Linked DNA regions of Notamacropus eugenii. The protein of the gene in region 4 purifies or fractionates together with the protein of the main gene of each other region. This does not show direct contact. Links are inferred from orthologs where the notes say so. Each region holds a gene or a part of one and is shown on either strand. Other genes may lie near its edges.

Region 1 (7,560 bases), on a different chromosome or scaffold from region 4:
TTCCAGGATTTCTGGGAAATTCCAGGAACCCAACCACCTGCAGCTTGGAAAGGGGCCAGGTACTATGGGCTCCCCAGGGTTGTGAGGCACCTGAGGGGAGGGAGCAGTTCCTCTGGCATCTCCCCACCTCCTCTGCTACAGTTCTTCCAATGGAAACCCTGGAGTGCCCTCCCTGACCTGCCAACTAGATGTCTGTAAATGGCTTTACCTTTCTACAGTAAAGAGGGAGATGCATCCCTCACAATTCCCAAGAAATTAACCTCCCCTTGCCCCCAGGTAGTGCAGGAGTATCTGCCAACCTTGCTGCATCTCTGAGACTATTCTGAGATAAGGGGCTAAGAAACCCCTAACTTAGGAAGATCTCTAATCTGTGGGACCTAGATGCCTGGGTCCTAACCCTTGATGAGCCCTGCCCTAGCTGTTTTCTCCACACTCTCCCCAAGGCCACCCTGTTCCCCCAAAGAAGGCACCAGCCTGCACCCTGGTACAACCCTTGAAAATCCTTTTCCTTCTAGGCCCTGATCAGCTGCCACCTCCTCCAGGAAGCCTGCTGTGAGAGGGATCTGGGTTTCTGCAGATTTTCTCCAGATATTCCCTGAGCTCCTAGTCTGGATCCTCCCTTTGCTCTCATCACATTCCACCTTACATCATACTCACCTGTGTTCTGCATATATTGCTCCTAGTGGGTGGGAGGCTCCCTGAGGACATCATTTTTCTTTTTTGCAACATAGCTCAGAGCACAGCACTTTAGCAGGGCTACGATAAAATAGCTAGCACTGTCTTCCCAAGCTTTGCCATATTCTTCACTAATAATGCCATCAGATTTCATCACATTCGTGTCCTAAACTTTGGTCATTTCCCATTTGATGAGCACCCACTGTTTCCAACTCCACCACTAATAAAAAGTGTGACAAAAATATTTTGGTATATATGGGTTTTTTTTTTCTCTCATTGACTTCCTCGGGTTATATGCCTGGGTTAAAAGGTATGGACATTTTAGTTTATTCTCGGTGACTTTTCAGAATGGTTTTCTGGACAGCAACTTTGGAAGTATTCAAGAAAAAAGAATTAAACTGTGCATACCTTTGACTCAGCAATTCTACTGCTCAGAATATGCCCCAAGGAGGTAAGAGACAGAAACAAAGGTCTAATATATACGAAAATGTTCATGGCAACTGTCTGTGTTAGAAGAGAATGGGGGAAAAGATACCTATTAATTGGGGAATGGGTATGAAATTTATAAAATATTACAGTAATGGAATATTATGCCCTAAGAAATAATAGCTAGCTAACATTTATCTAGGGGCAGCTAGGTAGTGCAGTGGGTAAAGCACCAGGCTTGAAGTCGGAACGACTCAACTTCCTGAGTTCAAATCTGGCCTCAGACACTTCCTAGCTGTGTGACCATGGGTGAATCATTTCACTCTGCTTGCCTGAGTTTCCTCCTCTATTAAATAAGCTGGAGAAGAAAATGGCAAACCACTCCAGTATCTGTGCCAAGAAAATCCAAGATAGTGTCAAGAAGAGTCAGGCACGACTGAACAATAAAAACCATTTATGTGGCACTTCAAAGTTTGCAAAGCATTGTCTGTACATTATCTCATTTAATCTTTACAACAAGCCTGGAAGGTAGGTGTTAGTATTATCCCCATTTTGCAGATGAAGAAACTAAGACAACCAGATGTTCTGTTGCATAGCTTTTAAGTATCATTGGCTGGATTTGAACTTGGGTGTTCCTCACTCTTCCAGATCTACTGCACCACCTAGATGCCTTTAAGATACGATGTGCACCGCCCCCTCTTGGCCCCTTCCCACAATTCAGCACTCAGAGATTGGGTCTGCCCCTGACTCAAGGTATTCTGTGAGGCAGTACTTCTAAAAAGACTTTGTGGCAGAGCAGAAAGCAAGAGCAGAAGTAGCAGCAGGCAGCATCCAGAATGGGACTCAGGTTTTTCACAGGCTGTTTTCCCAACAGACCTACTGGCAGTTGGGGTGGTGGCTGGGTCCGAAAGGGGATGCCTCCTGGACCTGTGCCCAGGGGTAAAGCCACGTTCCTCCTGGTGGGGTGGGGTGTGGGCACGCAGCCGGTCAGTGTTGAGGGAAGGGATATAAGGACCAGAGAGGCTATGGCCAGGAGCCAGGCTGGAGCTGGCTGCCCGGGCAGCAGATCCGGACCCGAGTTCAAGGCCTGAGTCTGCCACAGATCCGTAGTCCTCATCATCTGCAGGCAGTAGGTCAGTGCTAGTGACCCAGTTTTGCTAACACCTGAATCTGGACCGAGAGAACCTTTGGTTTGATTCCCAGCTGGGTTACTTAATACATAAGACCTGGGACAAATCCCTAGGCTTTAGTTTACACTGCAGTAAAATGGAGCCACCAGATCAGATGATATTTAACAAAGAAACAAGCAACAAACATTTAACACCTGCTTGCTGCCTGGAGAGGCACTTTGATGAGCTTGGACATATAGAGGCCATAAGGAAATAGTCTCTGCCCACAAGAAGCTTACTTTTTAACAGACAATGTGCACATGTGCAACCCAGTAAGGACTGATTCCCACCCCCCTCCCCAGCGACAGTGGAGGGCTTCTGCCCTCCCTGGGCTGAGGAATCAGTCTTTGGACTGGACACAATGAGCCCCCTGGCCCAGAGTGATTCCATGGCCTTTACTGAGCTGGCATCCTCCAGCTTAGCCATTTTCCTGACCAGGTCCTAAAACTTACTGAATCAGTGCTGGTGAATCCTACGGAGTGTTAGGTTCACTCACTCTCTGGGAGAGGGTAAGAAGCCCTCACCTGGGCACTGCTCCTCATGCCCATTGAAGGTAAAGCCATTATGGTCATACTAGTCATTCTGTCTCCAGAAGGGAAAGTGAGGAGCAGACCTGACTCTTTGCCCCCAGAGCCCTCTGAGCTCCCCTAACACACTTCTGGTTTTATTTTCATACTTTGCATTTCCCACTTCGCTGAAACATAATTATGACCACAAAAACAGAAAGAGCAAAGCTCTAGAGACATGTGACTTGCATGGTATGTGCCCTCCCTCCACCATGGCAGATCACAGGCTGTCTGTAAAGTGGGTGGCCACCTTGGGGAGCCACCCAGCCAAATCACTGATCCCCTGCCACTGCCCTGGAGACCAGTCCTTGGCTCCTCCCTGGACTGTCTGTCCCTGGCCTGGCCTCCAGAGGGCTTCGGTCCTGGGCTGCCTGAACCAAAGAGCATTTCTGTCCTGTTTTATGCCACCAGGGAAACAACCACTGAGATAATAACTGGTTTTCCTCCCAGCACACCCTGCGTTCTTTTTTCCTACTCAGCCCTCTGTCTGACCTCAGATGAATTAGGCCACTTCTAAAAAGAAATTAGCAAGAAAACGATCCCGGGGATTCAGAAGGGCACCGCTGAGAGGTAGGACACCTGGGTTCCCTTCCTAGCTCTGTGTGACCTTGGGCTTTCCCTTCCCGTCTCCGGGTTGGTTGCCTTCACCCCATGAGGAACCAAACAAGCGGGCATAGAGGGAGCTCTTCCTCCGTGCCAGGCTTCGTACCAGCTACAAGTAAAAAGAACAAGCGCATCCTCTTGCACACAGTTTCCATCTACCCTGTAAAAGCTTATCACATCCATTCCGGGCCAGCTCCTTGCCTTCCTCTGTTCCCTAGGGGGCCCAACCCGTGCCTGGCAGGTGCGCACTACAAGGACTCGGTCAAATGCGGGTCAGCAGCCTCGTTACTCATTCAGAGCACCTGGGCCTGCCCCTCCCTGTGCAGGGGGGAAACTGAGGCAGCCCAGTCTCGGCTATTCGGGACTAGAAGCCTGGCGGACTGGTACAGGAAAAAGCATCCCCTCTGCGTAGCCACTCTCTAGCTGGGTGTCTCTGGGGGAGTGGCTTCGCCAGTCCGGCCTCAGTTTCCCCAGGTGCCCACTGGAATGGACTCCGAGGTCGCTTCCAGCTCCATCCTGAGGATTCTTACTTTAGGCAAAGGATTTCATTGCTCTGAGCCTCAGTTTCCTCATCTGTACCACGGGGAAGGGGTATGGATGTTAAGCTCCCCAAGCGCTCTGCGCGGTGTGTACACGTAGTAGCCTTGTCCCTTAGTGGCAGCGCCAGCTCCTAGTATTCCGCCCCGGAGCGCTCGGGCCTCAGGAATAGGGTTCGCGGACCCTTTAAGGAGGCCCCACCCACGCGCCGACGCACAGGTGAGTGACGTCGCTGGACGGCCAATGGGAGTGCGCGCTGCTGGGGGGGGGCGGGGCGGGCGGCCACGGCCCTGGGGGCGGGGCTTCGGGCCGGGCCGGGCCGTGACCATGGGCCGGGAGCGGACTCGGCGGCCGCTCGAGGCCGAGCCCGAGCTGGAGCCGCAGCCGGAGGCGCCGAGGGAGCGGAGCGGCTGAGAGGCCCGCCCGCGCCGTCCCCCCGCCTCCCTCCGGCCGGGCCGCGCTGGAGCCCGGCGGCTGCTGCTCGGCCCCGGGCGGCCCCCTCACGCCGCCCAAGAAGATGAAGAAGCGCAAGGAGCTGAACGCGCTCATCGGCCTGGGCCCCGGGGACGGGCGCGGCCGGAGCCGCCGCAGCCGCCGGGCCTGGAAGGGCGCCGCGGGCCACCGGCTGCTGCGCACCGAGCCGCCCGCCTCGGGCTCCGCGTCCAGCTCGGAGGACGAGGACGAAGACGACGACGACGAGGACGAGGACGAGGACGAGCGCGGAGGGGGAGGGGGAGGCCCCCGCGCGCGCTTTGCCAGGTGGGAGGGGGCCCCGGCGGGGGGCGGGGCGGGCACCGGGCAGCCCCCTCCCCCGGAGAGCCCGCGGTCCGGCCGGGACACCGGGGCCACACGGGAGTCGTAGCCCACGGCCGCCGAGCCCCCCCAGGGCCGCGGGCCCTTCCTCCCCGGGCTCTGGGTCGGGGGTGTCAGCCGCCCCAGGCCCGGGCGTCCCCCGCGACTCGGCGCCTGTTCGTTTGCAGAGGAGACTATTTCCGCTGCTGCAAGGTCTGCTACCCCCTGTGCGCCTTCGTGATCCTGGCGGCGTGCGCCGTGGCCTGCGTGGGCCTGGTGTGGATGCAGGTGGCCCTCAAGGAGGACCTGGACGCCCTCAAGGATCAGTTCAGAATGCGTGAGTGGGAGCTTCGGGAGGAGGGGGCTTCGGGGGCCTCCCTAATCACCGCCGGTCCCTGCTGTGTGCCGAGCACCCGGAGGCACCCTAGTGTTTGGCCAAGGGCCCCCTTGCTGGCCCCACCTGGGACGACTAAATGAAGCGTTCGGGCCCCCCGGCTGGGGCTCGGGGCTTGTCTGCTCCCAGCGCGGGGTCCGCTCCGCGCCCCATGAAGCACCGCAGGAGGACGGGTGAGAAGTGAGAGGAAGCCCCCGGCCTCTTCCTCCCTCTCTGACCCCGGGTGAGCCGCTTCCATTTTCTGGGCCTCTGTTTCCCCATATGTCAAGTGAGGGAACAGGGCTGGATGAGCTCTGACCTCTCATCCTGCTCTTTCCACCTCCCCCGCCTGCGAAGGGGCAGCAGGCTCGGTGCTTGTTCTCTTTACCGACCTTCCTGGGATCTTTGAGATTACTGCGAATGACTTTGAATGAAGTGCTTTGAGCCCAAGATCCCCAGAGAAACACAGGCCATAGAGCCTTTCGGAGCAGTAGGAGAGAAGGATCCTAAGCCTGCTGATGTCAGTGGGGGCTAGGTGGCAGGCTGTGGGCGCAGAAGGAGGCGGTGCTGCCAGACTGGTCAGTGTGTTTGCTCTCCTCCGTGTCTATTATAAGAGAGCGTTCTGTTGGGTGGAAATGGAGATCAGGATGCGAATGACAGCTGTGTGTGTGTGTGTGTACAAGAAAATGTTTCTAAACAGTTTCCATGGGCCCAAGAAGGAAAACTGGGCATCTGCCAGCATCTTCATGGCCAGGGTCAGTGAGTTTGGTTAATTAGGTCAGCCTCCATCCTTCTACCTTTCCATCCTCCTCTCATCCCTTCTAGATTGTACTTTTATTCATAGTAGTCTTTTACAAGTTGTAATTAACTTTGCCACATGTGAATGTTAATAGGATGTTTCCAAAAGTAAGGAGCATATTTTATTGGAAAACAGTTCACTTCATTACTTGTTTATTGAGGCCCTGCCAGGCACTAGAGGGACAGTGGTCCCCACAGGAGCCACAAGTACTTGGGCCTTGTCCACACTGGCCCTCCCACAGGAGGGGACTTGAGGGTGTGCTTGGCAGAAGGGAGCAGGCAGGCGTCGTCCAGTCAGGAAGGCAGCCTATGAATGGACTTTGGAACCACTCCCTGCTCTTCAGAAAGTCTTAACTTCATAGACTCGTAGGAGGCTCTGAAAGACAGCTCAGCCTTAACTTTGCCAGAATATGACTGTTCTGAGTTAAAGATCTCTAGTGATTGGGGATTTACAGCCTCCACAGAGGGGCCTCCAGCCATCTAGGAGGAGTCCCTTGGCAAGGACATTTCTCCTTTTATATCAACCTGCAACTTTGCAAAGTAGTTTCCCTTAAAAATAGTGCCTAGCGTCTCACCATCTTCTTGGCAGCCCTAAACCTTTAAGATAGTACTTAGGCGAGCTGGCCGCTTGTCATAACTGACAAGAAAGCTAGCTACCCCTGACAGCATCCTTGTAGAGAAACCATTCCAAGAGTCCTTGGCACCAGGGATCAGGAGGAAATGCCTCCTGCCTTCCCATCCATGCCTAGGGGTTCCTGCCATCACAGGGTACCTCTAGCCCAGGCCCTTGTCTTTGTTTGCTGTCCACGGTCATTCAGGCTCCCAGTCTGTCCCAAGAATAGTTAGCCCTTAATAAAACTTCCAGAGGACCTTCCTCGGAGAAGGAGAGAATGCTGCTCATGGTTCTGAGATTTTACTCAGGGGACCTGTAGCTGTTCTCTTGGGAGCCTGTATGTCCATCCTACCCATTCTCTTCATCTGTGTAGAATCAATTTGTGATGGAGTGGGAGTTACATTTGAGTTGATTTTCCTTTTTAGCCCCTGTCCAGTTCGCTTTGCCAGCTGGTAGTGGTTGTTGTGTACTCCGGTCCAGCAGTGTGGGTCCTAACCTCAACTGCAGGGTGTGTTTTTCAGAACTTGGGGACCATGATTGCATGGGGGCAGGAGGTGGTTTTTGCTTCCCTTCCAGCTGTGGCCTTTTTGTATCTCTTTAGCTAGATTAATGAAGTAGTTGATCAGAGCCATTCTCCAGACTGAGTTTGTCCATTCTTGGGCTGCAGGGCCCAGATGCTTCAGTGCAGTAAGGCCTGGCCCATTACCTCTGCCAGCATGCCCATAAGAGTCCTGGGCACCTCTGCCATAGTGAGGCACTGGGGAAGACTTTGGTTTAGGAGAAGCTTGATTTGGCTTATGCTTTATAACTGCCAAAGACTCCTTCTGCCCTGACCCTCTTACAGCTTTGTGCCCTTTACCATGAGCTGGGTACATGCAGACGTTGCCGAAGTAGCCTCTGCTGGCATTTGTTGTCACATGTGGTGTTTTGTTCATAAGGGAATGCATTCATTCTTTGGTTGTTACTTTGTCTGCTTAGAAGTCAATGGCGCCTGCAGAGCTGGGCCTT
Region 2 (7,642 bases), on a different chromosome or scaffold from region 4:
GAGTTGCGAATAATGCTCTGGGTACGAGTCTGGGAGAGTGAAAAAAAGAATGGTGTTGACTTTAACAGAAAAAGAGAAGATTGGCAGAAGGGTGGGGTTTTGGTGTCTGTCACAGAAGTAGGCTATGGAATCTCAAATTACAGAAGCGGATTATGGAATCTCAAGTCATGGAAGCAGGTTATGGAATCTCAAGTCATAGGGAAAAGTAAGAAGACCAGTTAGGTGAGAGTGTGGGAGAAGGAGTAATTTATAATCTGTCTGGAAATAGCACCAGATAATGAAGGAACTTTAATGCCAAACAGAGGAGTTTATATTTTATTCTAGGGCCATAGGGAGGAGTTAAGCTTTTTGATTATGTTTAGATCTATGCTTTAGGGATATCCATTTTTTTTCAGTCAGTCAACAAATTAAGCACTTACTATGTATCAGGCATGGTGCTAAGCACTGGGTATACAAAGTAATGCAAAAGACAGTCCTGGTCCTCAAGATACTCAGTCTAATGGAAGAGACAACAAGTAAACAAGTTATATATAGGATAAACAGAAAATAGTCAACAGAGGGAAAGCACTAGAATTAAGAGGGATTGAGAAAGGCTTCCAATAGAAGGTGGGATTAAGAGTAGACCTGCTTCAGGTAAAATGGCCTAAAAGACCCTAACCTCTATTTGAATGTAATTATGAAAGTACTACATTTCCCAGGATACCTGGGTCCAGAAAACAAAGATGGATTACAGACATCATTTTGAATGAGATCATGGAGATGATAGGCTTTTGGGAGGAGGAGAGGGACATTCAGGAACACAAGTAGCCACGGAGCACCCCTGAAGCTCCACAAAGCAAGGAGTCATACTAGGTACAGAGAGATAGTAAGACCAGCTGCCTTCTAAGCAGAAATGTGGATGTTATATTCACTTCATTTTACAACCTCTTATTTCAGTTACAGACAGACTTTATGTAAAACTTCCCCATTGGAATTAGAATTATTTAAATGAGTTAAAATTCTAGGCTACTTTTGGGGAAGGGGTATGGGCCATTTACTGAGAACATGGGTGGCGATTGCTTTCCACTGCTTTTTGTATATTTCTGACCTGAATGAATATTTTGTTGTTCCAATGCTGTATGTACTGAATGTACTTCATTCAGTATGTGGCCCAGGAGCTCAGGGGGAATGGAGGACAGAGAGAGATGCAAGATTGATGGTTAGGGGAGCTCCTGTTTAGGCCATGCAATCTGCCCCTCTGGTGCATTGTTACAACTTTTAGGACTTAGAACTTTTAAAAGTCTTTTCATTTATCCTGCAACTGAACTCTATAATATGTTGTTTTTCCTCACCCTACCATCCCTCAAGTGTGTACTTGACCATAGATTGTCTTTCTGTAGTTGTCATCCATCCCCAGTACTGAGCATAGCACTTGGTACTTAGTAGCAACAGGAATTCAATAAATGTTTTTTCATTAAAAAAACAACAACAAACCTTCCAGCTCTAAATCTGTGACCTGAGATGAATAAAAGAGACAATTTACAGGACCAGGAGGAAAAGAACTTTTACAATCATTTAATCTAATTCTCTTTTTACAGATGAGGAAACTGAGATGCAGAATAGTTAAGTGATTTTTCCAAAGTCATCCTATTATAGATTAGCCAGGATGTAAATCCAGGTTGGCTAACTCTAAATCTAATGCTTTTTCCATCATACCATCAATCCATATTCTTTTCATCCATAGGTAAGTGGCATAGTGGCTAAAACCACTGACCTGACGTCAGGAAGACCTAACTTCAAATTAGGCTTCAGACCTTCATAACTGTGTGACCCTGTGGGAAAGTCACTTAACCTTTCCCTGCCTCAGTTTCCTCAACTGTAAAATGGGGACAACAATAGCACCTACTTCACAGGGTTGTGTGTCTCAAATGATATTTATAAAATGTGCAACGGTACAGTGGCTGGCACATTGTGGATGCTCAATAAATGCCTTTCTCTTCCCCATCTTAGATTTATAAATCAAATCTAGATCAGTGTAGGCTTTACCCTAAGACAGAGGCTCTTAACCTTCTTTGTGTCACAGACTCCTTTGGCAGTCTGGTGAAACTTAATGGATACCTTCTTTCAGAATAATATTTTTAAACGCATGAGATAAAACACATAGGATTACAAAGGCAAGAAATTAAATTTATTATATTCAGTTATTACTTTTTTTTTTTTAAAGACCCCAAGTTAAGAACCCCTACTATAATACTCGGAACATATCCAGATAGGTTGGAATCCAGCAATTTCAACTTTATGATGAAATTATTACAATTTGCAATCTGTTACGTTTATAAACAGTCCTTTCCTTGGATAGATAAAACTACTAGTGACGCATTTCATCTGTGGTCTGGTATTGATTTCTGAATTTATAACTTACTTTGCACAAGTCTCCAAAACACTCCAAGGAATGAAAAACAGGCTGTCATAAATGCCCAGGAAGTAGCCCCAAACTACCTCCTTCAGCTCCCTTCAGCAAAAGCATTAGATGGCTTCTCATTGCCTATATGATGAATATCATGTGTCTTAACCTGGCTTCCAGCATCTTCCATAACCTCTTTGCCATCTACATCTTCCATTTCAAGGATTCCCCTTTACTCCCGCTGAACAGGTCACTTCTCTGTCCTTTACACATGACATTCACAATCCTGCTTTTGGGTGTTTTTTCAACATATCTTTTTCCTGAAAAGGGACATTCTCCCTTCATCTCCTCTTCTAACTCCTACCGAAGAGCACTTCACATAAATACATTACTTCATGTGACAATTCTGAGAGGAATCAGAGTCCACAGTTATATATAAGGAAACTGAGACATATTTAACTTAATTGACTTAGCCCTGAGTTATGACAACTTAGAGCCAAGGTGGAATTCCAGCCCAGGTCTTACTTTAAAGCCATCAGCCGTCCAAAGTCCTCCATGCCAAGGCAAATCCGGGCTAGATTTCTCCTGAACTCTCAACAGCCATGGTTGTCCAAACTCTGGGTTTGCCCCTTTGCTGTATGCTACCTTGCGTGGGTTATAAGCCTTTGAGGGCAAGGACTTTGCCCCCCCCCAATCATTTCTTGGAGGGGTCTAGGCACATCAAGCACCATACTGTATGGTATCAATGATGGGGAGGAGCGGGCATTCTGATGGCCAAATTCCTTTTTCTGTTTCTCAGTTTCTTCTTGCCCAAAAGGAAAGGTTGTTTTGGGTCTCTAGGGTTAAATTCAACCCCAAACCCTGTAATAATACCCCCCAGTAATTAAGGGGCAGCACAGCGAGAGGAAGTCAAGCCTTTATGACTTCATCAAATTGAGGGAGACTCAAGGTGGGTGGTCAGGAGAAGAAGATAAGAAGCTGCCCACTGGCCACAAAGGGGCCATTAGGGGTAGGTGGCAAGGTCACTCACTGGATGCCCAAGTCAAGCCAGACTCCACGTGTCCCCTGCCCCCGCCCTCCACCACGTCACAGAAAGAAAGAAAAGGCGAGGAAAGTGGGGCTGTAGGAGCATCCTTAGGCCACGTGTAGTTTGGTGTGACGTCACCACGCTGATAAGAAAAACTGGTACTGCCCCACACCAGAGCTCGTCATGACGTCAGGTGACGTAGTAGCGTCGCCATAGTGTCATGGCGCGGCGTTCTGTCGCAGAGGTCGTTTGTATGAGAAACTAGCTTGGACAGGGTACTTCCTATCCGGGTCTCTCTAGGAGTCAAGGAGGAGCTGCCCCTCCCTCTCTAAGTCTTCATCAAATAGAAACTGAAAACTCTTTCATATTTGCATAGATGAAGACAGGCCAATGGGCTTTAGGAGAACCGAGGGACGTCGGAGAGCAATCTACTCCAGTGGAGAAAGAGGGAATCAGGCCGGGCAGTTGGTAAGCGACTGAAGCTTCCTCCAATGAACTTTAAGAAGCTCAGGTAAGAGGGATGGGCACGTTTCGTTCAGGACGGCGACCAATGGCGAGAGGGGTCCTCTGAGTGACGAGGGCCCCGGCCCAATGAGGATTGGAGGAGAGAGGGAACTTCGTCCAGAGCGACGTCAGCCGAAGCCACTAGTATCTGACGATGGGCGGGGCTAGAAAGCGAGCGACGGGCGTGACATCCAATGGCGAGTGCAGAAGCAGGCGGCTCCGGCCAGGAGCGCCGAAAGGGTTGAGGGAGGGGGAAAAAGCTCTACAGTGGAGAAGCAGGAAGTAGCCGCGGTGAGAAACGGAGGCAGCGGGGAAGGTGGCGGCAGCGGCGTCTGCAGGAGCTGGGTAAAGACCGCATAGTGTCAGCCTGGCCCGGGACCGGAACAAGTAAGCCCGCCCCGGGTAAATACCCGCCTCCGGCCCCGCCCCCTCCTTGGGGGCGGGTAAATACCCTCCCCTCCCCCACTTGGGTAAATCCCCCCTCTCTCGGGGGGAGGCGTCGGGGGGATTGGGGGTGGAAATCTGTACCGTGAGGATGCTGCTCCGCCGCCGCCGCCGCCCACCTGGGTCCGGCTTGGGGTGGGTGAACCCCCGGCAGAACCGCGCTCCCGGCAAGCCAGGTAAATACCCGGGGGACCGGAGGCACCTCGCTGCCGGCCCCTTCCCCCTAGTCTCCGGCCCAGGGCGGCGACCGGGTCCCGGGAGGCCGCGAGGGAGCACGACCCAACATGGTGCCTGCACCCCGGGGGAGAAGGAGTCGCGGACCGGCAGCCCTCCTTCCTTTCCTTCCCTCCCGACCCCCGCTGACCGGCCGCCCCGAAAGACGCGCCCGGGCCCGGGTTCGAAGGCTTGAGGCCTGCGGGTCAGCCCTCCCCCTCCCCCAGCTCGCGCCTCCCAGGGAAGCTGATGTCCTGAGGCCCCGCCCCGCCCCACCCCGCCTCACCCCACCCCAGGGGGCCCTGGGAGAAGCCAGAGCCGGCGAGCCGGGAGGGCGTCCGAGCTGGCCCCGGGAGCCCCGGACCACGGTCGGTTACGGGCGCCCTGAGACGCGGTCCTGAAACTCCTGCCAAGGAGAGGAGGGAGTGGTGGGCCCCGGGGCGCGAGCCGCCGCAGGCTGGCCGCTTGTGTGGGGGCCTCCAGACCCCTCCCCCGCCTGGCAGCCTCAGTTTCCCCCTTCGCCTTTCCCCGGCTCTGCCTCGCTGCGCTCCTCCGAGCCTGTGCCTCAGCAGATGGCAGGGACTTAATTCCGCCCGCTGCCCAGCCAGTCTGCAGCCTAATCGCCTCGTGTGCGCCGGCCGCGGCCCCTCCCGCCCCTGCCCCAGTGCCAGGCCGTGGGAGCCCGTGGAAAGCGGAGCGCTCCTGCCCTCCCCTCCCCCATGTGCCCCGAGCGGCACTCGCCCTGTTGGGCCTCCCCTTTGGCTTTTGGGCAAAAACTGAAGGAAAAGCTCAGAGGGGTGGGCGGCCAACAACCTGGAGACTCGGAGGCCGGAGAGCGCTTTCCCTTGAGTACCAGGCTGCTTCTGCCTTTGGAAGTGGATGGCTATGGGACGACTTCAGAACCTAGCCTGATTCCCCCCCCTTCCCCCGCTAGTTGCGGAGAGGGGTGTGTGAATGAAGTGGGGTGTACTCTTCATAGTCTGCCACTCCTCTTCCACCTGCCCCAAGGAGAACTGGGAGGACCTCTATGAGAAATAGCCAGGCAGCTCTTAGGAGAGCTTCCAGTTAGAGACTAAAGTAAGGGACTTTGCTGAAGAATGGGAGAGGATTCCCCATTTTGCCTCAAGCTGGATAGGTTTACCCCCTCCCCCCTCCACTGGCTCCCAGAGGTCCCTCCACTAGTACCTGCTGCCACCTGCAGAGACCATCTCCAGTTACCATCCTGGGTCTGGGGACAGGTGAGGGAACTGGCCCCTGGAGGACCAAAGGCATCTTGAGAAAAGAGAAAGGGGAGGGGATTTGTGGAGGTAGAGACTCCGTCAGCTTTGTTTTTGCAGAGATTGGCCAAATTTCAATTCTTTACCTCTTTTTTTTTTTTAATAGGGGTAGAAGGGGGTAAGATATTGAAGGTTACTTCTGTTTTACGGCCTTGGGACAGAGTGAGGGACTGTGGCTGGGTTTGAATGGAATTAGTTGCCACCAAGATGGTTTGAGAAGCTTTTTACCTTGGCAGCCTAAGGGGGGTGGGGGTGGGGTCCTGTCTCTCCTTCAGCCCCCTCTTGAATCCTAGGTTAATTTCTTTGGGGCAGTGTTGCCATTAAGTTCTCCTATGCATCTTGGTCCCTTGTCCTGGGAAGAAAGGAGAAGAGAGGAATATGAAAAAGAAAGGAGGGGCTGGCTGAGGGAAGTCTGTGCCACTCTAGGGAAGGCTGGGGAACTGAGCAGCAGGTGTTTGTGACTGAGGAGAGGCCCCAGAGCTGGGACTTTTGTGACAAGATCTACTGTCATTGTCTCTGGATCTCTCACCTAATCTCTCTGTATTTCTGTTTTCCCTAGTCCATTTTCCACATTGATCAGTTTATGTTCCCTTCTAGTTAAGAATCACCCCAGTTGGCCCAGATTTGAATTTATGGGATAACCATGGATGGTCTCAAATGGTCCCAGTCTCAGATTTCCATTGCCCACTCATCCTAATCCTTAGCAGATCTAAGATGTCCTTATTTGATCTGAAATCCAATTTTTATTTGATTTTATCCTTAAAACAGCTCTGTAGGGAGTTGGAATCATTCTCTGCCTTTTATAGGGTGGGGAAGCTGAAACCAAGTGAAACTTGTGATGAGATTAAACCTTTCTTGTGTCCCATCCTATTGCTCTGACCACTTGGCCCAATTCCTTTCTCATCTCTGTGGGCTTCCTTTGACCCACAGATGACCTTGATTGATCCTGTGGCCAATCTTGAGCCTTAACAGTTATTGATTAATTGTTTTTCTTTGCTGGGTACTGAGCTGAGTGATGGAGTCACTTCAAGGATGGGTCCCATGTCTGTATCTAAAACCTCAGCTGATTTCAGCCCTCTGTAAACTCTCTGAATTCCTCAGGACCCTTTCTGCTATATACATACATGCCTGCACACATCCCCATCTCTTTCTCTGACTTTCTGTGTTTACCTCACTTCATTGTCTTCAGCTTCCTCCTGCTATCCCTTCATATCCCTCCATAGCCCTTCCCTCCCCTCCCCTCCATCCTTCCCCAGCAGCTCTTTTGGACTTTCCCCTGCTTGAATCTTCAAGGTGCTGATGGGGGTCATCTGTGTCTCAACTCAGCCTCCCTGCTCCCCGCACTGACATCAAGCCAGTACAGGCTCTCATCACCAATTACCTGGTCTCTTGCAATAACCTCCTAATTATCTTCCTGACTCCGTTTCCATACCCTCCCCGGCCTTTAATCCATTCTTCATGCTGCTGGCAGAAACATTTTTCTTAGAGATGGTCATTCCGCTTCTGATAAAACTTCATGGCTTCCTTTTGCTTATCAAGGGATATTTAAACTGCCCATCATTATTCTCCTTTTCCAACCTTATGTCCTATCTCTCTCTTCTCTCTCTGTTCTGTGTTTCCATGTCAAGTCCATGCTTTCCCTCCCTTCCTGTCCTGGAAATGCCTGACCTTCCTTTCATCTCCTGATGGATCCATAGACATGTTTTACAGTCCAAGCCTTCCCTGCTCCCCCTGATTGGCTATTACTTTTTTCCTTAGGATATTGTTTTAGAATTCTCATATCCCCCCAGAATC
Region 3 (8,056 bases), on a different chromosome or scaffold from region 4:
AGAATGAATTGCAGATTTCTAGGCTTTAACACAAACACCATCTTTTGGGAGCCATTTTTCAAGCTTGTTTCCAAGTCACTGGAATCATTTTTCAGTTACTGTTGAGCGATTTCATAAATTACATGCATACTCTTGAACCAACGTTGCTTCAAGTAATGTGGTTTTTAAAAGTAAACAGTATTAGCAGGACCCTCTAAAAGTAGTTCAATGGGATTTTGCCAAGGGAAAGTTTCACCGGGACTTTTAAAATACCCTATAAAAGGGGTTCAGAATTTTTTAGACCTGACAATTATTTGGTATGGATGGTAATTTCAAAATCTTTTAAGTGAATTTAGCAATCATGTTGCTTCAATGAGATTATTGATATACTTTTTTTAAAAAAAGCTGTACTAACTATATTATTGCATGTAATTGTATGTAATATATTGCATATAAAGAAATGACTTTAGATGACTGTTTTAGCCAGAAATAAGCATGGCTATATATATATATATATATGTATATGTATGTGTACATATATATGTACATTACATATATATGCATATATACATACACACATATTAATATTGATATATGATGAATGGAAAGGGACCATATAACTTATCAAAGCTTTTTTTCAGGTTAACCAAATGTTAGTTCTACACTATTCACTGTGTCTTTGTCTGAAGCATTTCTGTGAAACTATCAATTGCAGAACAGTTTTAGGTATGTATTGGCAGATACAGTTTTTTCACTGGAGTTCTCTATACCTACGAAATGACAGGCCCAGGTTAAAATGAATTAAAATAAAATTATAAGCAACAATAACATTTATTGGGTTTAATATTTTTCCTGTATAATTTGAGGTTTTAGATATAATAAAAGGAAAAGCCTTCTGTTGACTGATTAATGACATAATTAGGTTTTTTGGGAGCCTCTTTTTAAAGTTATCTTTGGTTTTCATAACACACACTCTCCACTTGTGGAAGATCGTCTGATGACATCGTGGTTTTAGTTATCCTCCATGCCTGGTATATGTGCCTTCTTCACCTCCCCTTCTTCCAATCCTTCATTTCCTTTGAAATTCAGCTCATGTGCTGCCTTCTACATGAAACCTTTTCTTTCTCTTCAGCTGCTTGTACCTTCCCCTCCAGAAATCACCTTGCATTAATTTCATATATATTTTGATTTCTTTATATATGTGCATATCATCCCTTGTGATAGAGTCAGGACCTGTTTCATCTTTATATTGGTTCTCCAGCACACAGCATAGTGTCTGTCCCATAGCTGCTGCTTAATAAATGTTTATGATTGGTTAATTAAACTCCTGGTCATAGGATCCAAGGAAAACCTGCTTTCTCTATAGTCTTCTCAGTAGGTAATAAAAAAAGTTTTGAGGTGGAGAGTTCAGCAATGTTAATGAACACTGTTCCTAAAGTCACAAGACCTAGACTGGAGTCAGGGCTGTGAAATTAACTCTGGAATCCTGAGCAAATCATTTAACTAGTCTCAATTTTCTTACCTGCAAAATGGAAAAAATAATATTTACACTATCTTCAGGACAGGGTTGTTTTGAGGAGGAATGTAATGTGCATACTGTAAAGTCACTTGATTAGATATTTGTAACATGAAAGAATGACTTCAGAATTCCAATATTACTTCTATAGCTATATGTAATGTACTCCTAAAATAGCAAGGCCAAAGGAAAGAAGAGAAGTATTATTTTTTTAATAATGTTAATTTAATTCAATAAACAAGGAGTCATGTAGTATCTGAAATCACAAGACCTAGTTTGAAGACCAGCTTTATTGCTTGCTATCTGTGTGACTTCAGGAGCATCATTTAACCTCTCAGAAACTCGGAGTCTTCTGAATGAATGACAGTTCCACCAAACTCTAAATCTATGATTTATTGAGTATGTACTATGTCCAAGGAGGAAACCAACTAGAACTTTCATGCTCTTCTGCCTCCTCCTCCTCCTAAAATAGTACAGTTTGGCCACCATGAGTTCACTACACTTTAAGTGGGATGATGCTAGTCATCTGGTTAATTTATGGAAAGAAAAAGAAAAACAGAAAATACTGAGTAACTTTCAACCATATAATATGGGGATCCCCATCTTTTCTTGGTGATGAGCTACTGGAGTATTGCTTGTAAGCTCGAGCACCCTGGGCATCCTTCTAGGGTGGCAGCATAACACACTTTATGCCAAGAGGTTCAATAGCAGGGGGTATAATGCCAGTCTTTTTTTGACTCATTTCCATATCCTTAGAGATCTCAGGCTCTCTTGTTCTATATTTTCTTCCTTTTGATTCTCTTTAAAGGAATCCCCTTCCCCCATTTCCTTTTCCATTGTGTCCTCCTAGAAGGAAAATTCAGAAACTTTTTTGATTATTGACAGTTCTATTGGCCAACCTTTACTTCTTCCATTGCTGGAATAAGTGCCTGTATTAGGGTCAGTTCACACGATTGATTTATCACTTCACACTCATAAAATATAGGTAAGAAAGCAGAGAAGGCAGTATAGTTCTGGCTGTCACTTAAAAGCTATACGATTTGGAACAACTCACATGGTCCACGTGAGCTTCATCTGTAAAATGAGGCTAATACTTAGACTATCTCCCTCCCCACTAGTTACAAAAGGCTTTGCAATCAGGAAGTACTAAGTTAATGTTAGTGATTGTGATGACTCAATAATTAAGCTTAATATATACAGAGTATCCAACCTTCCTGATAAGGTGTCAGACAAAAGAAACCTGAACCCAGTCTAAGTACCCAAGAAAAAATTTCTGAATTGATAACAGCTCACAAAATGTTTCCATGTGTAGAAAACCTATGTATGTTACATGAATTCAGGGATTCTTAACAAGGTGTCTGGGAACTTTTAAAAAATAGTTTAATAAAAGCATTTCATTATAATTTGTTTCCTTTGTAATCCTATGTGTTTAGTTTTATGCATTTAAAAACATTATTCTGAGAAAGGGTTCATATGCTTCATAAGACCTCCAAAGAGGTTCATGATACAGAAAGGTTAAGAAGTCCTATATTATCAGATTAGATGAGAAATAGTATGAAACAGTAATGTTGTTACACTGACAGTCTTGTTTTAAAGATGCTTTTGTTTCCGTTAACTTCTAAGGATGGTCCTCACCTTTCCCAGCCTCTGCACTAGCAAATGCTTTCTCTTCTCCTCACTCTCTGGATCAGAAGTGCAACTAGTAATTCTTGGACCTAGGGCAGAGGGTTTGAAAGAAAGGAACAGACTTTGACCACACCTATGTGTAAGTGAGAAACTGGAGACAGAGGTCATGGGAGTTGAGGGAGTGTGATACGGATGATAAGCTATCAAAGAATACTTAAGAGTGGTCAGACAGGTAAAAGATCCAGTACAGAACTGTGACATGAAAACAGAAAAAGCATCCAGCAGGGAAGGGCACTTGACAGTGTCAAATGCTGCAGAGAGATCAAGAATGACAACTGAGAAAAGATCAGATTTGTCAACTAAGAGATCATTGGTAACTTCATAGGGAGCAGTTTTAGTTGAGTGATGAGGTTGGAAGCCTGAATGCAAAAGGGCTGCAGAGTGAGTGAGACTAGAGGAAATGGAAGCACAGAACGTGTTAGCTTTTTCTAGTAGTTTGATTGTGAAAGAAAGGGGAGAGGAGAGCTCCTGAGAAGACGGTAAAGTCTGGTGAAAGTTTTTAAAGGACTAGATGGAAGGTTCAATACAGTAGGAGCTCTGGTGGTGGTCAGAAGTGGCTGCCCAGTCGGTAAGACTTAATGAGTTTTGAGATATGGTCTGTAAAGAAGTTTTTTAGAGTTATTTAAGACAATTCAACAAATATTTATGAAATGTCAACCGGGAATAACAAAGACAAAAACTGAGATGGTCGGTACTCTACCGAGTTTAGTGGATCCAACGATCATCCACAAATAGTACATATACTACCAAGTTAAAAGAAGCAGTAAGGCCTAGGGCACTCGACAGCACACTAATAAGTGGGGGGATTAAAGCTGTCTTTGAGATTGTGCCTGAAGCTAGGCTTTGAAGGAAGTTAGGAATTCTATCAGGCAGGAGGAGAGAGGAAGGAGTATAGCTTAAACATGGGGTATCATTTGTGCAAAAGCAAAAGAAGTGGGAGATGAACACTGTACTTGGTGAAGGGGGATGCGTAGGAGTCCGGATTGACTAGAACGTGGAAGCAGGTAAAAGGGAAGTAAAATTAAATAGACCGGAAAGGTCAGTGGGAGTCAGCCTGTCTTTGGTCCAGCCAGATGTCAGGAAAACCCCCTTTGCTCGTACTTGCAACGATCCTGGTCTTGGCCACTGTGACATCTTGTGAAGGAGGCAGTGAGGCTTATCTAAAAAGGCAGTGAACTTGGGGTCACGAAAGAGCTGGGCCCGACTCCTGCCTCTGAGCTTTCTCGCGTGTGAAGCGGAGAAGGATGCTCATGCTCATACCTGTGCCCTAGTCCTCAGAGATGGTGTCAAATAATTATGTAAAGCCCTATAATAAAAGTGCCGGCTGCGAGGCTTGCGCCCCGTTGCTTCTCCCCTCTCGGGCAGGCAGGCCCCTCTCTGGTGGCTTTTCTTTCCCGGACTTACCCGAGAGGTGGGGGTTTCCTTCTTGTTCCATCCCCCCTCCCCTCCAAGCCTCACACCCCAGCCCAGGGCCGCGCTCGCGCTCGCGCCCGCTCCTCTTCCCGCCCCGCCCCGCCCCGGGGGCGCGCCCCCAGCCAGGAGCGCCTCGGATCGGGCCCCCCCTCACTCCCCTCGGGCCCCCCCACCCCCCCACCCCGTAGCGGCCCCGCTTCCCGCCCGCCTCGTGCGTCATGACGCCAGCGCCCAACGCGGAAGCCGCTCTCGGCGCGCCTGGTCCAGCCGCGGGCTGAGAGAGGAGCGAGCGAGCGGGCGGGCGGCGGACGCGGCGGCGGCGACTCCTCCTCGGTGGCTGCGGGGCCCCCAGTGCGCGCGGACGCCCGGCGCGGGAGCCGGAGCGGGAGCGGGCGGAGGCGGCGGCCGTGGAGAGCGGCGGCGGGGCCGGGGCCGGCATGCGGCCGCGGCTCCCGGCCGGCGGCGTGTGAGCGAGGGCGGCTCCCCGGCCTCGGCGGTGCGGCGCGGCGCTGGAGGGGACCGAGGCGGCGGCGGCGGCCATGGCGACCCCCGGCAACCTGGTGTCCTCGGTCATGGCGAGCAAGACCAAGACCAAGAAGAAGCACTTCGTCGCGCAGAAAGTGAAGCTGTTCCGAGCCAGCGACCCGCTGCTCAGCGTCCTCATGTGGGGGGTGAACCACTCGGTAAGGGCTCCGGCCGCGGGGGCGGTGGCCGCCTCCCCCTCCTCTGTCCTCCCTCCGTCCTCCCTCCGGCCCCCGGCTGCAGGGGGACACCCTTTCCTCCTCTCCCCTCCCCCCGCCTGGCCCGCGCATCCCGGCCCCTGACGCGGCTGCAGATAACGGGGCCGGGAGGGCTGCGCCCGCCGCGCCGGACACGCACACTCCCCGGAGCCGGGGGGGCGCGCGGGGCTCCGTGGAAGTGGGACTAGGGGCTGCTTGGCACGGGGGAAGTTAGCGGGCGGCGCTTAACCCCCCCTCCAGTGTGCGTGTGCGCCCCCACCCAGCCACCCGAGGTGCGGGGGTGGGAGCTTGCGCCCACCCTGTGGGCACTGGTCCCCATACGGATGGAGAGGCGGCCAGCCTGGGCGCAGTGGAAGCTCCTCCAAGGGAAGATAGAGAGATACCTGTCATTGCGCTGGGTGCGCTCTGTGGCTTCCTTGCAAGTAGGAAATACCGAAGTCTAGGAAGACGGGGCTCGTTTCTTCAGTTTAAGGGCAGTACTGTTTAACATAATGCGGTTGGGGGAGGGGGAGTGCGGAGAAGTGAGGCAAAGAAAAAGACAGCATAGTTACGGCAACTGTGTTTTGAGACCCTTCCCATCCTCCACCGCCTCCCCAAATTACGTTATCCTGCTGTTGACCCAAGACATGCATAGCCAAGTATTCTCTCTCTCCCCAGACCCTTCCTCCTCTCTCTTCTCTCTCTCTTCCCTTTTTTCTCTTCCCTCTCTCATTTCCTCCTCTTTTTGGCCCCTCTGTTGCTCCCCCCTTTTTCTTTCCTTCTTTCCTCTTACCCTCTGACCTTCCTCAAATAACTGCACCTAAGTCACGAGTTACAGAAGATCAGTATTGGGGGGTAAGGGTCTTGAGGGAATGGCTCCGGACATAACCAGCATCCTGCTTGTTAAATATTTGTTAAATTTTATCCCTTCAGCAAAATGCTTTAATGTCTCACTTTAAGAGGTAGCCAAGAGAGTTGAAGATGCACTGCTGTGGGCTATGCGGACTGCGATTTGAGGGTCTGAAGTAAGCCTCATACTGATCTTAGAGTGTGAAACTCCTGCCGTTTTAATCTACTTAGAGTGGATCAGGAAACATGATAGTAGCTGTTGACAGAGCCAGGCAAGTTTAAATGTCTGAATTTTGTTCCTCAAATAATCATCTGAGGTGGAAAGTGAAAGAAAGCTCTCCAGAGTTTGAATTTGGGTTGATTTTATATGCATTCCCTTGAGTCTAAATGAAGGAAAAAGTAAACTTCTTTAGATTGAAAGTCTTTTTAAATGACCCCAAATTACTGAGTTTTTAACTTGCCTTTTTAAGTCGAGGATAGGGAAAGGTGGTTTTATGTGTACAGGTATAGGTCCTGAAGCATGTATGAATTAATTTCGTGAAATTTAGTGTTAAAGAGGTCAAGTAGAATAGTGACTTCTTTTTAGAAGCTGAAGATTTGAGATATGACTAAATCCATTTTAGCCTGACAACTTCTTTTGGTGTTACAGGTGCAAGGTGTCCTCGTTTAGGACAGAAAATACACTATTACACAAAAACTCTCAGGTTTCTTCGCGAAAAAGTTCCTCTGAGATGAATATAATTTTCTGGGATGATATATTTTTGGTGGCTGGTCCCTGAGTGCCGTAGGAGTATCTTGACGGCTATGTGGGACTGTGAAGTTTCTACTCATGAGTTTCTAGACTCTACACATAGACTATATTGTGGTTTCGGTTGTTTGTTGATAGATTTCTCTTTCACAAAGGTTCTATTTTTCTGGTTGAGATTGACAGTGTGAATTGGCTTGTTTAACATAGTAAAATGGTAGTAATTTTACTTTGTACTTTGAAGCAATGTTCTTTCATCTCTTGAGTCGCCTTTAATGGAAGGCAAGTATGCTAGGGAAACATTGTAACAATGGTCATAGCAAGTATGTTGTAACTATTTATATTGTTACTTTGTATTCATATGACTGCTACATTTATTTTGTGGTAAGAAATAAGCTTGAAAAAAATTGGACCAACTGGGTTTTTTGGGAAAATAATTTAGCCTTACGCATTTGATTTTAGGGATCAGATATATAGCATGACATAATTGAGGTATAGAAAAATTAATTTTGGCTATTCATTAAAAAGTCACATATTTGCATCTACTACATAAAAATGAAAAAAAATTGCTATGAATGCAAACATTTCTTCATATACAATGTCTTTGTTTTGAAAACTTGATATCAACCTAAGAAGAGTTCTTGTGTTTATTTGGTCTTAGTTTTTTTTTAGCAATGTCAGATGATTTTCTTTAATTGTATTAAAAAATAGATGAACACACATTTGAAATAGAACCACTCTAATGCCAATTTTATGTCAGTGGACAAAGGCCTGTACAATATTTTGTATTAAAAGTAATTAGTTTTTATAAGCTACTATGCATAAAATTGTGTAATGAGAACTAAATGGCAAAATGTCAACAGAATGAAAAAAAGAGTAAGAATAGCACTGTCAGTTCGTGAGGGATAATGACTAGAAAAAACAGAGCAGGGAAAGACGGGATGGTCTGAGCAGTCCCTTCTTTACTTTTCTAACATAATTGATATTGATAGAAAATATATTCACTTTAATTGTTTTAATCTGACTGTATATTTTAGCAGCCCTGATCCATGTTAATTTGGACTACTAAAGGAAAGTGCATGTTTGTTTTTCTGCTCTCATCAGGCATCAAGTTATAGTAAAAAGTTCAGTATACCTGAGCCTTTATGC
Region 4 (7,847 bases):
ACTGACTTTTAAAATAAACATTTCTCAATTTATAGGTAAGATTTATCTACAAACAACTACATTAGGCTCTTCAAAGTAGTCAACCTTACAATGCTATATACATATTCCAATCAAGTTGCCATTTACTCAAAACACTTTTGGAAACTCTAAAAAAAGCTTTCAGAACAAATACCCTCAAGAGTAAAGAAAATAACCAAAAGGCATCTGGAGCCAATTCAAGTGAGTGAGGGCGGGTGCTCAAGCTGGGGAACAGCATGATGGGTCAAAAAAAAAAAAAAAGAGGTAGAAAAATGAGGTTGATTTTTTTGTCATGCTCATAGCCAGTTCTGGATGCAATCCCAAGAGGAAGGAGTTTCTAAAATGTTTTGTGCAGTGAGAACATCCTTAGAAAAAGTATCTAGAACTTGAAAGATGACTATTTGGAAGAGGCCAGTACTTACAAAAAAGGCAGTGTTAAAAAATTCCTTGCATTATGGTGATCCCTTGTGTTAACAAAGAGGAAAGTCAGCTTCCATCTATCATCGGCCCTGCCTGGTTGTGCCACAGCACTTACTTTCCTGCTCCACCAGCAGCAGGATGGATCACTGTTGGGAAATTGTGACCCACTGCCTCCTCCGTATTGCCAGAGTAGAAACTCAAGAATACACATCAAATGAGGATCATCATTCATAGATAGTACTAACACTAAGACATGAAAAATGTTTTAATCCTGCTCTTATTCTGCAAATCTACTCAAAATGCTGCTAGACCAGGAAGGCCTAGGTAACAGCTGTGCTCATTTCACTGAGTTCCCTTTATTTTTCATAATTACTTGAATAAATCAGAACTGACCTGCCATAAGCACCTATCAGATTCCAAGAGTTTCTATGCTGTGCCCGTTATCAAACATTATCATGAGTCAGAACCCAAATATACTATCAACCTGGGAAACTTCAATCAAGTATTTGTTTGTTGTGGCTATGCTGGGTGATAATTATGTAAGAGTTAACAGAAAGGTCCATGGCTGTAAGAGCATGCCACTACATCCTCCATTAAAAAAGCCAAACCCAAATTGTTGTTTTAGGAGCTCTATTCTTTTGTAGCACTGATTTCTGCCAGGAAAATAGCTACCATAGAGGCAACACTTGATTCCAGAGGGCTCCTCCTTCTGACTTATTCCAAATGAGTCCATGTTCTACTTTTCCTGACAAACTAATAAACATCCCAAGATACTACATCATGACCTCACAGCACATCATCCCAGAACCAAATGAGCAGGTTATGCTCATTGCCACCTCTGACCAGCATCATTCAACCTTTGAATCCTCATCGGCAGATGAAATTTCCTCTCATAAATGAATAAGAACATCCATTAAACGTAAAATAATGCTCAAGCAAACTCTGCCCAAAGGAAGGTACAGGAAATAAGCCAACTAATTTCTGAGGACAATCTACTGATTTGGCAACTAAAAAAACAGGTAATGGAATTCAACCTGAGATGTTCACTGGGGGGGGGGGGGGGGGGGGGGGAACCAGAATCTTTCTATTAGTCACAGGTCCCATCCATTCCTAAAACACTACGCTAGATTTGTGTCAAAATTACCCCTAGTTTGTCATTTTTTGGCGGTGAATAGAAAATGAGATGGGAAAGATTAATGTAAGATTTTCAGTTGGATGGAAAGCAAAAATAATCTCTTCTGCATAATGAAATATCACTTATTACCCTGGAAGATGGTGGTGAATGTTTTGCTTCTGAACTAGAAAACTACAATGAAATTTTAAATACAACGTAGTAGTGTGGATAGAGCACTGGACCTGGAATTAGGAAGACTCAAGCCAGACTTCTGCCCCAGACACTTGCTAGCTATGGGATCCTGTGAAAGTCACTCAGCCTCTGAGCCTGAATTTCCTCATCTGCAAAATGGGGAAACAGCTCATGCTATCATCGGGATGGTGAGGCTCAAAGGAGAGAAGACATGGCAATGGCTTTGCAGACCTTCAAGACCTACAGAATTATTAGCTATTATTGCTCTTATCACTACACTCCTGAGAGTGACCATCAACAGGAACCTGACTCACCTTGAGAATCTTGACAACCACTCTCTCATTGTTGGTGATGTTGATGGCCTCAAACACTTCGCTATATTTTCCCCGACCAAGTTTCCGAACCAGCTGGTAATCGTCCTGATTACTGTGAAAGCAAGAGACACGTCTGAGCCACGGAACTACTGCAATCCTGTCTCACACACACTTCACCCACATGGAGCCCGGGGACCGCGTTCGGCCACAAGCCCTTCCCTGGCCCCCTGAACTCTAACCAGCCACGCTGCAGGAACCCGAACCTATCTCAGGGGCCCGTGCTCCGCTGAGAGGGGGGATGGGATAGGGACCCCAGCTCTGACTAGCAAACGCCCCTCTCCACGGGAGGCAGGGGATGGAGTGGGAACCCCGATTCATTGACCCCTGGTCCACCAGGGGAGGGGCTTGGAATGGATGGGGTAAGGACTCCCCTGGAAAGGGGGCTTGAGGAAACACCCCGAATCTAATTAACCCTCGCTCCACTGGGAGGGAGTAAGAACCCCGATTCTAATAGACCCTCCCCCCCACTGGGAGGAGAGCGGGGTAAGAACCCCGACTCTACTTGGCCCCGGCCTCTCCCCAGCGCCCCTCCCGGGGCCCCCCGCCCCCCGCGGCCTCGGCCGCCCCCCGCCGGGGCCCGGGGCGCCTGCTCCTCCCGCGGGGCCGGGGGCCCGAGCACATGGGCCCGGGGCGGCGGCGGCTCCTTTACCCCCAGCTCGGGACGTGCGCCTCGTAGTCCCAGTACTCGCGGCTCCTCAGGCTGTTCACCTCGGCGTAGACCCGGGCCCTGCTCCCGGCGGCCGGGCCGGGCATGGCGGGCGGCGCCGGGCGGCAGCGGGGGGCGCGGGGCGGCGACGAGGGCAGGGGCGGCAGGAGCGGCGAGCGGCGGCCCCGGGGCGCGGAGCGCAGGAAGCCCAGCAGCGACGAGGCGGCGGCGCAGGCGAGGGCGGCGAAGACGGGCGGCCGAGCCAGGCCGGGTCCGCGGGGGCGGGCGGCGGGGCCGGCCTGGCCGGGCCGCCCCGGCCCTGGAGCGGCCGGCGGGCGGAGGGCGGGGCGGGGCGGGCCGGCGGGCGGCGGCGGCGGGAGGGCGCTCGCGCTGCGGCTCCGCGGCGGCCCCGGCTCCGCTCCGCTCGCGTCCCGCGCTCCTCGGCGGCGGCCGCACCGGCGGGGGCGGCCGGGAGAAGGGCGGAAGGCGGGCGGGGAGGAGGAGCGGCGACGGCGGCCGCGGCGACGGAGGCCAAGGAGGAGGAGGCGGCGGCGGCGGCGGAGGAAACCCGGAAAAGGGGCCGAGCTCGGCAGGAGGGGCCCCGGCCGCCCGCCCCGCGGGCCGGCCCCGCCCACAGCGCCCCCTGCAGGGAGGGAGGACGCGGCGCCGCTGCTCGAGCCGCCCTCCTGGGGAGAGGCAGGAGCTCCTCCCCCTCGGCCCGTGGCCAGCGCTCCTTCCTCGGACCCCCACCCTGGCCAGCGCTCCTCCGCCTCGGCCCGTGGCCAGACCCTCCTCCCTCGGACCCCCACCCTGGCCAGCGCTCCTCCCTCGGACCCCCGCCCTGGCCAGCGCTCCTCCCTCGGACCCCCGCCCTGGCCAGCGCTCCTCCCTCGGACCCCCGCCCTGGCCAGCGCTCCTCCCTCGGACCCCCGCCCTGGCCAGCGCTCCTCCCTCGGACCCCCGCCCTGGCCAGCGCTCCTCCCTCGGACCCCCGCCCTGATCAGCGCTCCTCCCTCGGACCCCCGCCCTGATCAGCGCTCCTCCCTCGGACCCCCGCCCTGGCCAGCCCTTCTCCCTCCGACCCCCGCCCTGATCAGCGCTCCTCCCTCGGACCCCCGCCCTGGCCAGCGCTCCTCCCTCGGACCCCCGCCCTGATCAGCGCTCCTCCCTCGGACCCCCGCCCTGGCCAGCGCTCCTCCGCCTCGGCCCGTGGCCAGACCCTCCTCCCTTGGACCCCCACCCTGGCCAGCGCTCCTCCCTCGGACCCCCGCCCTGGCCAGCCCTTCTCCCTCGGACCCCCGCCCTGATCAGCGCTCCTCCCTCGGACCCCCACCCTGGCCAGCCCTTCTCCCTCCGACCCCCGCCCTGGCCAGCGCTCCTCCCTCGGACCCCCGCCCTGGCCAGCGCTCCTCCCTCGGACCCCCACCCTGGCCAGCGCTCCTCCCTCGGACCCCCACCCTGGCCAGACCCTCCTCCCTCGGACCCCCACCCTGGCCACAGCGCTCCTCCTCTAGACCTCCTTCTCTTTGTCCTAGCCTTGTTGGCCAGCGACCTTCCCCTTCCCCAGATCTCCCAGCTTCACCTTGCTCTTCTCCTCGTGCCTCCCAATCCAGACCTTAGGATCATGATCACAGCTAAACCAGCAAGCCCTTGGGAAGTGCTCCCCATGTGCCAGACACTGTGCTAGGCCCCAGGGGTACAAAGAAAGGCAAACAAACCATCAGGAGCTTATAAGGATCATCTATTTAGACCCAGAAGTGATCTTGGAGACAAACCAGTCCAGCTTCTTCCTTTTAGAGACAAGGGAATATGTGAGGGATAAGTGACTTGCCCAGAGTCACACAGCTAGCAAAGATCTGGGGCAGGATCGGAAGCCCAGTCTCCTGGACTCCATGCCCTTTGAACATTCTTCCTCCAGAGCTTCTCAACTCCCCTATTTCCCTCATTCCTTAAAAAGACAAATTCCATGAGGACAGAGATCAGGTTTTTCCTTGTATCCACAGCAGCTAACAGTGTTGGGAACACAGTAGGAACTTAATAAATGCTTCTTCATTGATCGACTAATCCGTCTAGTCCCCCTCTCCAAAGTTCCTTTGTCTCTTTTTCTGGATCCTCCCTCAGGGTCTGTCCTGGACCTCTCTTCTCTTTTCCCTCTGGGCTGCTTCCATTAGGTGATCTTATCAGCTCCCATGCTTTAATGACCACCTCTGTGCTCATGATTCTTAAATCTGCTTGCCCTGCACCAACCTCTCTGCTGGCCTGTGATCTGACACCTCCACCTGCCTTTCAGACATCTCACACTGGATGTCCAGCACACATCTTAAACTCAACACAGAACTCATTATCTTCTCCCTAAACTCTCCCTGTCCCACCCCACCCACCCCCATTACTGTTGAGGGCAACACCATCCTCTCAGTCCTCCAGACTTACAACCTAGTAGTCATCCTGGGCTTCTCAGTATCTCTTCAATCCTATATCCAAGCTGTTGCCAAGGCCTGTCAAAGTCACCTTTACAACATCTCTCAAATATGCCCCTTCTCTCTTCTGACACCGCCCCCCCGCGCTTGGACTATCCCCTCACACCTGGACTATTGCAGTCGCTGCTAGTGGGTCTGCCTACCTCAAGTCTCTCATCACTCCAATCCATCCACCATTCATAGGTCCAGTCACCCCAACCCCTCCCCCCACACTCATACTCAGTAAACTCCAGTGGCTGCTTCCAGGATCAAATACAAAATCCTCTATTTGACATTCAAAGCCCTTCATGACTGAGACCCTTTCTGTCTTCTTATACCTTACTCCCCACCAGGTACTCTTTGATTCAGTGACTCTGGTCTCCTGACTTTCCACCTCTCAGCTCTGGGAATTCTCTTCGACTTTCTGCCATGCCTGGAATGTTCTCTTTCCTCTCCTCCATTACTGACCTCCCTGGCTTCCCCAAAATCCCTACTAGAATCCCACCTTGTACAGGAAGCCTTTCCCAACCCTTTTTCATTCTAGTGCTTTTCCTCTCTTAATTATTCCCTACTTTTCTTGTATTGACCATGTTTGTGTGTAGGTACGTATTTTTTTCATGTTGTCTCCCCTATGAGATTATGAGGTCCTTGAGAGCAGGGACTGTCTTTTGTCTCTTTTTGTATCCTCAGCATTTAACACAATGCCCAATATGTGTTATTGCTGTTCAGCCATTTTCAGTCATGTCCAGCTCTCTGTGACTCTATTTTGGGGCTTTCTTGGCAGAGATCCTGGAGTGGTTTGCCATTTCCTTCTCCAGCTCATTTTACAGATGAGGAAACTGAGGCAAACAGGATGAAGTGACTTGGCCAAAGTCACACAACTAGTAAGTGTCTGAGGCTGGGTTTGAAGTCAGCTCCAGGCTCAGCACATTGTCCATTGTACCATACAACTGCTCAGGTACCTAACCTAACAGCCACTTAATAAATGCTTACAACCAGAACCTCCCCTTCCTCAAGATTCCTCACTAAGCCTCTCTCCATCTAGACCCACTTCAAACCCTATGTTTTAATCCATTTCAATCCTTTCAAGTAAAAAGGAAACAAAAACATTTAGTAAGTGCCTGTGTGCCAGGCAGTGTTTTGCAAACGTGATGTCATTGGATCCTTACAACATGCCTGGGATGTAGATGTTACTATCATCCTCATTTTACAGATGAGGGAACTGAGGCAGACAGAAGAGTCAGTCAGTGTATTGGCCAGGGCTGCACAGTGAGCGTTTGAGTTCAGATTTGAACTCAAGTCTTCTTGACTTCAGACCCAGTGTTCTATCTGCTGTGGCACCTAATTCTCTTATACTAATATGAGTAGACCACCACTCCACTGAGGTATAGTTTTCAGAACCAAGGAAAGGCTCTTGCTTCCCCCATACATACTCCAAATGCCAGAAAACTCATAATTAGAGCTTCGTTTCTTTAGCTCACTTGAAGGAGCACCACTGAATGGAGAGAAAGAACTCAGAACAGGGATTCTACATATACCCACCACAATCTTTGCCCATAAGTGAAATTTGGCTAGAGGTGTCCAGATCTCTTTCCAAATGAAATTCTCTGGACTGATTCTCTCTCTCTCTCTCTGTCTCTCTCTCTCTCTCTCTGTCTCTCTGTCTCTGTCTCTGTCTCTGTCTCTCTCTCTCTCTCTCTCTCTGTCCGTCTGTCTCTTTCTGTCATACTCTTTCATGTGAGAACCATATAAACTTCTTATTTCCTGAGACTTCCTACAACATTCCACTTTTCCCACATTTTCCAGTTGGACATCTCCACTTGGATGTCCATTTCAAGCTCAGCATGTCCTAAACAGAATCTATTTCCCTTTCCCTCACCAATTCCCTTTCTTTGATCTTTCTTGTTTTTGTTAGGGGCATCACCATCCTTCCATTCATCCAGGTTTCAGCTTCAGTGTCATCCTTAATGACTCTCTCCCCTTTACCCTACCAGAGCCAATGAGTTGTCAGTATCCAAAACTTGTCAGTTCTTTCTCAGGGACACCTTTCCCGTTGATCCATCTTGTTTGTCCTTTCATAGTGTTCTAGTTCAGATTTTGTTTTTATTTCTGTCTTTGTATCACCAGCACTTAAGTAAAGAAAACAAGCATTTTTAAAGTACCTACTATGTGCCTGACCCTGGACTAGGCTGGGCATATAAAAAGAGAAGAGGCAGTTAAGTGGTACCACAGTGCATAGAGTGCCAGGCCTGGAGTCAAGAAGACCTGAGTTCAAATTCAGTCTTAGAAAGTTACTAGCTAGGTGACCCTGGCTAAGTCACTTTACCCTGTTTGCCTCAGTTTTCTCATCTATAAAATGATCTGGAGAAGAAAATGGCAAACCACTCCAGTATCTTTGCCAAGAATACCCCAAAGGGGGTCACAAAGAATCTAAAATGACTGACCAATAACAAAGAAAATAAAAGAGAGTCCCTGTTCTCAAGGAGATCTCAGTCTAATGCAGAAGACAATATGCAAGCAACTAGTTTGCAACTATAGAAACAAATGATAAATACAGGATAAATCTGGGACAATCTCAGAGGGAAAACATTAGTTCACAAAGACTTCTTGGAGATAGTAGGATTTTA

The links.
Region 1: the proteins of CSNK2A2 (region 4) and EFCAB14 purify together in Homo sapiens (affinity purification with mass spectrometry; 4 studies listed by BioGRID and IntAct, with this or other methods). This does not show direct contact. The link is inferred for Notamacropus eugenii from reciprocal best matches to the Homo sapiens genes CSNK2A2 and EFCAB14.
Region 2: the proteins of CSNK2A2 (region 4) and ZNF687 purify together in Homo sapiens (affinity purification with mass spectrometry; 6 studies listed by BioGRID and IntAct, counting the BioPlex papers as one, with this or other methods). This does not show direct contact. The link is inferred for Notamacropus eugenii from reciprocal best matches to the Homo sapiens genes CSNK2A2 and ZNF687.
Region 3: the proteins of CSNK2A2 (region 4) and PIP4K2A purify together in Homo sapiens (affinity purification with mass spectrometry; 3 studies listed by BioGRID and IntAct, with this or other methods). This does not show direct contact. The link is inferred for Notamacropus eugenii from reciprocal best matches to the Homo sapiens genes CSNK2A2 and PIP4K2A.

What each region holds. Positions count from the first base shown.
Region 1 is NC_092873.1:507,796,285-507,803,844, reverse strand, and holds the start of EFCAB14 (EF-hand calcium-binding domain-containing protein 14), read left to right. Parts: upstream 1-4,287; 5' UTR 4,288-4,493; coding exon 4,494-4,735; intron 4,736-4,956; coding exon 4,957-5,105; intron 5,106-7,560. Other genes in the region: cytochrome P450 4A25-like, read right to left, coding at 3,546-3,594.
Region 2 is NC_092873.1:305,102,944-305,110,585, forward strand, and holds the start of ZNF687 (zinc finger protein 687), read left to right. Parts: upstream 1-4,417; 5' UTR 4,418-4,449; coding exon 4,450-4,534; exon of another isoform or gene 4,535-4,554; intron 4,555-5,032; exon of another isoform or gene 5,033-5,809; intron 5,810-7,642. UniProt on the Homo sapiens protein: May be involved in transcriptional regulation.
Region 3 is NC_092874.1:63,584,291-63,592,346, reverse strand, and holds the start of PIP4K2A (phosphatidylinositol 5-phosphate 4-kinase type-2 alpha), read left to right. Parts: upstream 1-5,048; 5' UTR 5,049-5,133; coding exon 5,134-5,277; intron 5,278-8,056. UniProt on the Homo sapiens protein: Catalyzes the phosphorylation of phosphatidylinositol 5-phosphate (PtdIns5P) on the fourth hydroxyl of the myo-inositol ring, to form phosphatidylinositol 4,5-bisphosphate (PtdIns(4,5)P2). Has both ATP- and GTP-dependent kinase activities.
Region 4 is NC_092872.1:715,884,513-715,892,359, reverse strand, and holds the start of CSNK2A2 (casein kinase II subunit alpha'), read right to left. Parts: upstream 3,014-7,847; 5' UTR 2,872-3,013; coding exon 2,768-2,871; intron 2,171-2,767; coding exon 2,059-2,170; intron 1-2,058.